2 linked regions of the Caenorhabditis elegans genome follow. The protein of the gene in region 1 interacts with the protein of each later gene in a pairwise test. Each region holds a gene or a part of one and is shown in the gene's direction. Other genes may lie near its edges.

Region 1 (4,201 bases):
TCACGTTTCGGACCCGAAAAACGCGCGATAAGTCACGTAGGCCGCCGTCTGTCTGGTGTCTAGTGCACTAAAATGATGACAAATACGTACTCTCATTCTTTGAACGTTCCTCGTTGTCAAGTTCAAATATTTTCTCCTAGGAATCCATATGGGGATTGAGGTGCATTCAATTGTTTTATGACTTACAATTAGAGAAATTGAACAGTGATAGGCAGTAAAGAATGTGGATCGATTCATTGATCTAGACTTATTATTATGTTTAGCGAAGTTGCAACAATTTTCGGATCCGGCTTTCAAAACATTATTGCAGCAAATAAAAAAATAAAATCTAAATTTCACATTAAATTCTTTTTTTTTAATTTAAAAGTTTACTTACTGTGTGTCAAAAGACATGTTTCCAAAATTATTTTCTTTATGCGCAACATTCGTAGAAACTACATTGATATTAATTAGGCGTTGGAGAAGTTCTTTAAACATTATTTTTATAGTCAGTTATTCAATAGTTCATAATCTATAATTTCTAAATCCGAATGTCTTGAATTAAATTCAAATAAATTAGAAAATGCTGTCAATTAAAAGCAATTTATGCTTGTTGACTATTATAAACAATTTAAAAAGAATTACAACTAGATCAGAAACCAAGTATTGATTTTTAAACTGAAGGTAAGAAAAAAAAACGAAATAAACACGTATTCTCTCTCAACAACCCAACACTCTCTCTTTCCACTCTAAACCTCACACATTTTGGATCTCTCTCCCACTCCACTTCCCCAGTCTACACTATAATCACCACTACAATTTGTTTACAGTCACACGAACTTTGCACATTTGATGCACCTTTTAGTTCTAAAAAAGTATTTTCCTTGTGAGTTTCTTATCATCTCATCAACAAATTTCTAGAGGAAACCATCTTATCATTCCCTGCAAGCCTAAATCAAAGCTGATTTGTTAAAAAGGGGCGTTCCCATTTCTGGTTATCATTTTTTGATTATTGGCTTGGAAACATAATTTCAACAAGTTGCTGCTGAACAAGGCGGTGGATTTCTGCACAAAATTTGTGACTGTACCATAAAGGAAGCGGAAAAAATCATTCCGAGGGGTTTTAGATTTCTCAAAATTTGTAGCCATAGTTTTGGCAAATTGCCAAATTTTGGAAAAGTAGGAATTCTTGAGAAATTTAGAGATTTGTTGAATGTCTCAACTTTTGGTTGGTTAATTATTATTGAAAAGTGAATGGAATATAAAAATCGTAGAAAAACTATTTTTGGTCGAATTAAAAAAGTATAATATGAGTGTCATTATGATGCGAAGGAAATTGGACACGGGAAAGGAAAACCCGAACTGCCCAATAAAATTATCAACACATTTCAAAAACATTTTTGAAAAGATTTAGCACAATTGAACTGATTTCAAACATTTTCCCCCGGGGTGAGATTTCTTAAAGAATTGGACTGACAACTCAGAAGCACCTGGAAGTCCATATTAGGATGGCAGGATTATAAGATACAGTTGCCCTTCAATTAATTTAAACATCATTTAGTCGATTATTGAAACATAAAATTCAAAACTAATAAAATGTTTTAAATTTCTTCCGCTGGACATAAACCTATTTTTCAGAGATCAATATTTTATTGAAAATAGGCAACATCAATCGATACATTCTAGACACAGTTTGAATCACTTATTCCAGATTAGCGTTTCTCGTTTGCTAATTGAAAAAAGGAGTATATCATTTGAATATTAATCTATAAATTCCTAACACTTTCGAAAACCGCCTTGCAGTCAAACATTACTTTAAATATTCGATTTTTCACGTCCTTGTCATATGACCTATAAATGTCCTTTTTCTTATCTTAGTGGCTGGTATATAACGTGTCTATCTACCATTGTACATGTCTGTACAAAGTTCAATGTAGTTTGGTTCTTCATTTATAAACCTTTTTTTTCGTCATATAATGAAATCTTCTTCACTTTCTCTCTTCAAAATTATTCTTCAGCTAGGTGCCATGATTGTACAAAGAAGGCTTGTATCAGGTTTCACATGGGTTACCGGCTGGAATTTGAAGAATATTCGCTCAAAAAATGATTGCCTGGAAATACGCTATGAGAATGAAGGCCAGTATTTTTAATAATTATTATTTCACTTTGAAATTTATAATAGTTTTCTTATAGGGAACCCGTCGAAATTAATAATGCCGTTCGTTTGGCTCAGGGATCACTGTACTTCTCAGAAACTTTATCATCTTCCAACAAATCAAAGAAAGTCGAACTGCTGTGATATAACAAGCTTATCCAAAATAAAGCATTCCAATCAAGTAATAATTGATGAAGCAACAAATTCACTGCAAATAGTTTGGATCGACGGGCATCAATCAAAATTTAAAATTGGAAACATTATCAGAGAAGGGAAAGTAGAAAAAAATGTCTCAAATGATAATAAAATTTATGAATTATGGAATTCTAAAAGCTTGAAAGATGTACCGCGAATTTCAAAGTGAGTTTAAGTTGACCAATTTGTGGTTTTAAATATTTCTGTAATAAAAATTCAAAATAAATCTTGCGAGTTTCAGATCTACCCTTTCTCTTCAGAGCTTTTCGAAAAACTTAGTGAAGTATGGTGTGATCATAGTAGACGGCGTAGAAGGAACATCAGAAGCGACGGAAAAACTTTGCCAAAGTTTGGTTCCAGTCCATGACACATTTTTTGGCCAATTTTGGGTTTTCAGCAATTCAGCAACAAATGTAATAGCTTTTTTATTGTTGTACGTTCGATTCCATCTTTCAGGACGAACCTGCATACGAAGACACTGCTTACGGAAGCGATGAAATTGGGCCTCATACCGATGGTACATATTTTGATCAGACACCTGGAATTCAAGTGTTCCATTGTCTCACACCTGCAAAAACTGGCGGAGATACGGTTTTGGTAGATTCGTTTTATTGCGCTGAGAAGTTGAGAAACGAAAGCCCAGAAGATTTTGAGATACTTTGCAATACTAAGGTTAGTGATTTTTAATTTTTGCTGCAATATAAACAACATATTTACAAATGTAGTGTTAACTTTCAAATTATGTTCGCTCTTTTGGAATACATACTCATAAAAGTTACCAGATTTTTTCCAGATATCTCATCACTATCTTGAAGGTTCTCCACCAGGTTCTTCTATTCACAGTGTCAGTTTAGAAAAACCAGTAATTGAAAGAAATTCCTTTGGAAATATTACACAAATTAGGTAAATTTTTATTTCAAAAATAGAACCTTCCAAATATATTTACAGGTTTAATCCCTATGATCGCGCTCCATTCTCATGTCTGAATTCATCTGAAGCTTCCGCAGCGGAAACAATTAAATTCTATGAAGCATATGAAAAGTTCTCAAAAATCTGCCATAATCCAGACAACTCTATCGAGATTTCTCTACGACCTGGATCAGTGATCTTCATTGATAATTTTAGAATATTACATTCAAGAACATCATTTCAAGGATATCGACAAATGTGTGGATGTTATTTATCACGAGATAATTTTATGGCAAAAGCCATTCCATTTCTATCAGGGAAGTCACAAACTTCTTTATGAATATTTGAATGAATCGATATTTATTTATGAACCAAATAAATTCTTGAATTAATTAAAAATATAAATATTTATCGAATATATTAAAACAAGAAAGAAAATCACAGACAAAATTGAAGCTGCAGGAAAAATTAAGAGTGAAAAGAACTGAAAGCATTGATTTGATAAACAACCAGAAAGGCTTATCAAAGAGAATACACAGAAAAAATATATGCATACATAGAACAATAATTTTTGATATGTATTAATGTTGTGTGAAAAGTGGAACCATTCTGTACTGAAAGGGTGAGAGGGGAAGAAATGGAAAACGTCTATATTTAGAAATATTAATATTTTACAAACAAAATAAAATCTATCAGAAAACAATTGTTGAGTGAAATAGAACGACCCGTTGAAGGAACTGAATTAAGAATTGAATATTCTCGAAAAAACGAGCTGAATCAATTGCTGTTCACACGTTGATCTACCGCGTTATTTTCATTTTGACGAGTTGTGTTACGTCGACGGAATGAGAATTTACTCTGAAATTTGAGTTTCAGAATGGGATGTTTAGAGTACGTTTAATTTTTTTTCTTTAAATTTTAAATTTTCAGAACTGTGAGTGCAAATGAAAGTATACCCTAAAC
Region 2 (5,236 bases), on another chromosome or scaffold:
GCCCATTCAAAATTTCACTATTTAATTTCATGATGTGGCCGAGTTTTTGTAAACCGTTATGAAGAATGACTTCAATATCGTGGCAGGACCCACAAAAATCTCGATTTGATCGCCTATTAAATTAGTGACACTTTCAACTAAAGCTGTCTATATTTCTGAGATTTTTAGATAGTATATACACTAAACCGTCCAAGTGGAACATTTTTCAAAACTAAACTTATAGACTTTTCTACTAGAAACCTCAGCCACTGATTTTTCTCCTCAATCAAATCGAGCTACAACCCTCGGAGCACACTTTTTCTGCAAACTGATCCCCATTATCTTCCGGATTCTCATTCTCCTAGAGCTTCACGGGTATCAAATTCTCGACACCTCCTGATCTTCTTCAAAAGATTCCTTTCATTTTTCGTCGCTTTTTTCTCCCCACCACCCATTCAGAATAATTGCAAGTGTATGTGCAGCATGTATTTATGTAAAAGGGAGAGAAGAAAAGAAGAAAATCTAGAAGAATTATCGAAAGCATTGCGGCGGCCCCCCCCCCCCCCCCCACATTCCCTACATCGAAGAATGTGTGCAGCCGAGCAGCTCGAGCAGCCAGTGGTCTTCCTACCCTCTACTCGAGAGAAGGCGCGCGACTCTATCGACTTTTTTGAGCAGGAGGAGGAGACTCTGTTGATACTTTCAACTTTTTCCACTTTTTTTTTCATTTTCGGCAGGTTTTTGGTTTTTTTTTATGGCGGCGTCCGGTTCTTAAACCGGAAGCTGTCTACTGCTTGGTCGAGCAGAAAACTTTTCGGAATTTTAGAATTTCCCTAGGCTTCCTGTTATTTGATTTTTTTAAAATTTCTCCACTAACTTCGAGGCCCTAAATCTTTGCTGTTTTAACTCTACAAAACATACACTAATTGAAAAAATATAGAAAATAAATTTTCACACAAATTCGTAGTTTTACTTTTTAGATAACTTTTAAATCCACAGAGATATGCGCTGTCAAAGTTGGTCAGCGACAGCGGCCGACATCTCACGACCGCGCCTTGGGCTTGTGTAAAACCTTTAGATGTCGGCTGCTTTATTTTTAGTGTACTTTTCCAACAAAAATGCAAAAAACAACTTTTTGTCAAGTTCTAATTATTTGAAATAAATTTTGGAATTTCTTTGAAATTTTTTTTTTTCGAAAATTTGGAGTTAACGGCTTTTTAATACCTCCAACAGCCACCATAAGCAAAGAGTACGGTGGGCATCAACGCCCGACATCTCACGGGCCTCGCCCTATTGGGCTATCGTAGAGCCGTTAGATGTCGGCTGCTTCACTATTTTCACTTGTAGAGTGTTTTTTTTAGAATCTGAACACCTATTTCCCGCCATTATTTTTTTACAAATTTAGTTCTGCAAAACCAAAAACCCCTTGTTTTCTTCCCCTCACTTCAGTCGCTTCGATGTTTTCAATTTCAATTTCAAAGCGTCAGCCACGTCACTTTATAGTCTTATTTAGCCGTTTCTCTATGTTTTTTCCCTTTTGCTTCTTCCATTTATTTCCTTCTTTTTCAATTCACTATGCGCCGCCCGTCATTGGCTGACTTCTTCCCTCCACTGATTCAAATTCTCTGTTTTCCCTTTTCTCTTTTTGTAGCTGTCTTCTGATTTCAAAACGCGAATAACAGACGGTTGTACGAAAGAATTTCGAGCCGAATCACAGGGTTGGTTTAATAACGGGGATTGAAGCGCGTGATTTACTAAAAATTCGGAGAAACCTGCGCGTAAGATATGGTGCATCTCCGACGGGGGGTTAGAGGAATAGTGCAAAAAACCAAATTGATGCACTATGTTTGGCGCGTACTGAAAAAATTTTTAAAGTTCGATTTTTTGCACCAAATATTTTTTAAAGCCAGGTTATGCTCCGTAGAGCATATACCCACTTTTGCCAAAAACAAACTTAATCGTAAGATATGGTGCATCAAAAAAGTGAGCTCATAAAAAAGTTTGCTGACACCAAGACAGTGCACCCTGTTTGACGTGCTACCGAATATACTTGTTCACTTCTGATAACTCTAGAAGTGTATGTAAAATACGGTGTTTTACGGACGTAGGCTAGACGAAAGTGTGCAGACACAATGCACCATGTTTCACTGCTGCGCACCTCTTGCCTGCCTACCGCTTATTTTTGTGCATTTTAGTCAACGCTAAAATCTATTCCATGTGCTCATCCTGATTTTAATATATTTTTTTTGAAAGTAGGCACGTTCAAGGCAGGAAGACGCTAATCAAGTAACTCTAAAATCTAAAATTAAGATTTTGACGCCCAAAAACAAAAATCAGCAAGTTTTTCACGCATAACCGCGCGCTTTCCTAAATTCTGTAAAAAATTCTTCGCTCATTAACTATGGCTCGGCATGACTTTTTGGTTTTTCGTACGTCACTTTTCATAGGCTTTTTTTCGTCGAGACAAAAAATATTCATCTAACATATGTGAGAAAAGTAATATAGTTTCCCTTTCAATGAGCTCTCAATTTCCCCCCTATAAATATCCTATATGCTCGATTCATTGCTCCTTTTCTCATAATAGCTCAATTTCCTTGAGCTTAGATCTGTCAACATTTTTTGCTTTTGAGCTCGCAAAACAAGCTACCAATTATTGCTCCGTTAACTCTGAAAATAATTTTTTGATTTAGAAACAAGCAGGCTTCATAAGGTCGCTTCGGTCGCTGTTAATTTAAAAAGTTATTTTTAAGACATCTTATTCTCTGAAATTTTTTCAAAATTCTGAAAAATCTTATTTTACATCAATCATTTTCCATTTATTTTTAAACCCTAATCTCAATTTTTTCCAGTAATAACCATCTTCATCTCCACCTCCCACCAACCATGGCATTCCTTAGTCAACTACAGGGTGGGTTTGCCCAACTCAAGCAAAAAGCCGAAGCGGCGGCTCCATCAATCGCTGACTCGTTGAATCAATTGAAAGAGGCTCCAAAGTTCATGGAGAGTGCCTTTAAAACTGGATTGAACAAGGTGAAGCTGGATTCATTGGGCAAGGTGCTCAATGTGCCATCGTTGGGAAGGACTCAGTCGCCGATTGATATCGTTCCGGTTATCACTGCGTTTGGCGAGCATCTTCAGAATGCACACTTTGAGTAAGGAGAGATCTAAAACAGGGGTGTGCGGCAAATTCGCCAAATTTATTGCTTTTCTACTTTGTGTGTGTGCCCTCGTTATTTTTAGAAACATTGATTTTGAAGCTTTTGATATTTAAGCGGAATGTTTTTTTCAAAAAATAAAAGTTTCAAAATTCCAGAGTAACCTACGAATCGACCGGTGAATTCAAAGCAGTAAACGATGGCAATTCGATTTGGCTGATGCGTGAGGGTAACAGCAGTGAGCTGGCTATTTCATTCCTCCCAGAAGAGCAATATCATCTGGACGCTGTAAATTTTCATTGGGCAACTGAGCCGATGAACGGATCCGAGCACACAATTGGTGGGGTTGGGTACGCAGGAGAAATGCATCTTATTCATCGGAATACGCGATTCGCCACAATGGCCGATGCTCTCAAACAACCCAATGGGGTTATTGCGATCGCTGTTTTTCTGAATGTAAGTTTGAATGAGAAAGTTGTGACGTAAGACCTCTAAAATTCCAGGAATCCCACGACGACAACGCAGTGTTCAGTCCGTTGATCAATCTTCTACCACAAGTGATCTACAAAGGAAGTGAATGCAAACTCTGCTCATTCGACTTCCAAACATTCTTCCCGGTTGCCGAGAAGACGAAGGAATTTTGGATGTACGAAGGATCGGAGACAACTGATCCATTCCGAGAGACTGTCAACTGGATTGTCATCCGAGCGGCTCTTCCGATTAGTTCTCATCAGGTTAGTCAATGAGACTGGGAAACTTCTTATTTTGATTGTTTCCAGCTCGACAAGCTCCGCGAGGTCCGTGCCGGACGCTACGACGAAGAATTCTCTGATAAGGTCCCAATGAAGCCACTTCGTCCAATTCAGGTATAAACCTCCAAATCAGACTTTAGGCCAGAAAACTTATATTTCAGAACCCCTCCTCTCGTACAATCCAAAGTAGCTTTCGCTCAGTCGCCGGTGCTCCCGACCTCGGATTCCGACAGTGATATGGTACCTCAACCACCGCCAACCGGCTGTGATACTCGTCTTCTCGTTCAGTCATGCTTTCCGTATACTATTTTTAAGACATAACCCATTCCGGAACTTTAAAGGCACATGCTTCAGCAAGATCTACATTTAGATAGAGCGTCATTATGTGCCTTTAAAGCCCCATTTTTCAGATTTGCAATACAATAATCCAAAAACGCAATAACTTCCCCCAGCATTCACATATTTTTGATTCACTTTTCACACACACTTTTCTCTCCAAAAGGTCTCACATATGCCAAGCGTCTTGATCTCTTTTTGAAAAAAAATGTTTAGATGTATAGTTGTAATAAATATTTGGTTAGATTGGGAAATTAAAAAAAAATTTCATTCACAAATAATAATGATAACAAGAAAGAAAGTAATATAACATGAAAAACATTTGACAAGCCTGCCTCCCACGCCTGGTAGGCACGAAGAGTAGGCATAAAAGATGGTAACAAGAAAAAAACAAAGAAACAGTAAAGAAAACCTACTTTACGCAAGTTTTTCAAATAAATAATTCTTTAAAAATTCAATTCTTAACCAAAAGAACCCCAATCTGGAACAAAAGTTGGATGGCTGCCAAGTTCTCTTTTCTGCTCTTCGTCTTCGTCTCTCTCAACGAGAAGATCTCATACAGAGTTCTCCATTCAGGATAAGAATTTGACAGGACCCTATACGCATCAATTCCACTAATCGGATATTCAACAATCTGCTCTGGACGTCCTTCGAAAAGTCGAGAATTGTTGATTCGATGACTAATGAAGCAGGCATCTTCACTCTCCATCAGCAGTCGTTGAGTGTGTCTTCGAATCAAACGAACTTTGGTTCGAGCAGTGAAATCGACGAGGTCATCTCCAAGAAGATTTGTTGATGAGCCAAGGACGCTGAGCTTCTTCTCCTCTAGAAAATGATAAAGTCAGTATTATTGTTTTTGCTGAATTAGGGTTTCGAGGGAGGGGGTCTCGATGAAATCTCACGATCCGAGTTATGACGGAACCAGGTAGATGAGTGCATCGTATCTTACGCGCAACTTTTTCTTGTCACGGGGAGCATATACACTAATTTCTACAGTAGTCGCAATTTTAAATT

Evidence for each region.
Region 2: the proteins of gbh-2 (region 1) and cah-6 interact in a two-hybrid assay, tested with the Caenorhabditis elegans proteins (one large-scale study listed by BioGRID).

The regions. Positions count from the first base shown.
Region 1 is NC_003280.10:8,483,932-8,488,132, forward strand, and holds gbh-2 (Trimethyllysine dioxygenase, mitochondrial), read left to right. Parts: upstream 1-1,947; 5' UTR 1,948-2,006; coding exon 2,007-2,115; intron 2,116-2,172; coding exon 2,173-2,494; intron 2,495-2,570; coding exon 2,571-2,742; intron 2,743-2,785; coding exon 2,786-3,001; intron 3,002-3,122; coding exon 3,123-3,232; intron 3,233-3,277; coding exon 3,278-3,578; 3' UTR 3,579-3,640; downstream 3,641-4,201. Other genes in the region: T13H5.1 (Receptor-type tyrosine-protein phosphatase kappa), read right to left, coding at 4,016-4,096, 4,195-4,201.
Region 2 is NC_003279.8:3,626,609-3,631,844, forward strand, and holds cah-6 (Carbonic anhydrase), read left to right. Parts: upstream 1-1,637; 5' UTR 1,638-1,697; intron 1,698-2,828; 5' UTR 2,829-2,862; coding exon 2,863-3,131; intron 3,132-3,292; coding exon 3,293-3,590; intron 3,591-3,637; coding exon 3,638-3,868; intron 3,869-3,913; coding exon 3,914-4,000; intron 4,001-4,047; coding exon 4,048-4,122; 3' UTR 4,123-4,504; downstream 4,505-5,236. Other genes in the region: jmjc-1 (Bifunctional lysine-specific demethylase and histidyl-hydroxylase NO66), read right to left, coding at 4,677-5,047.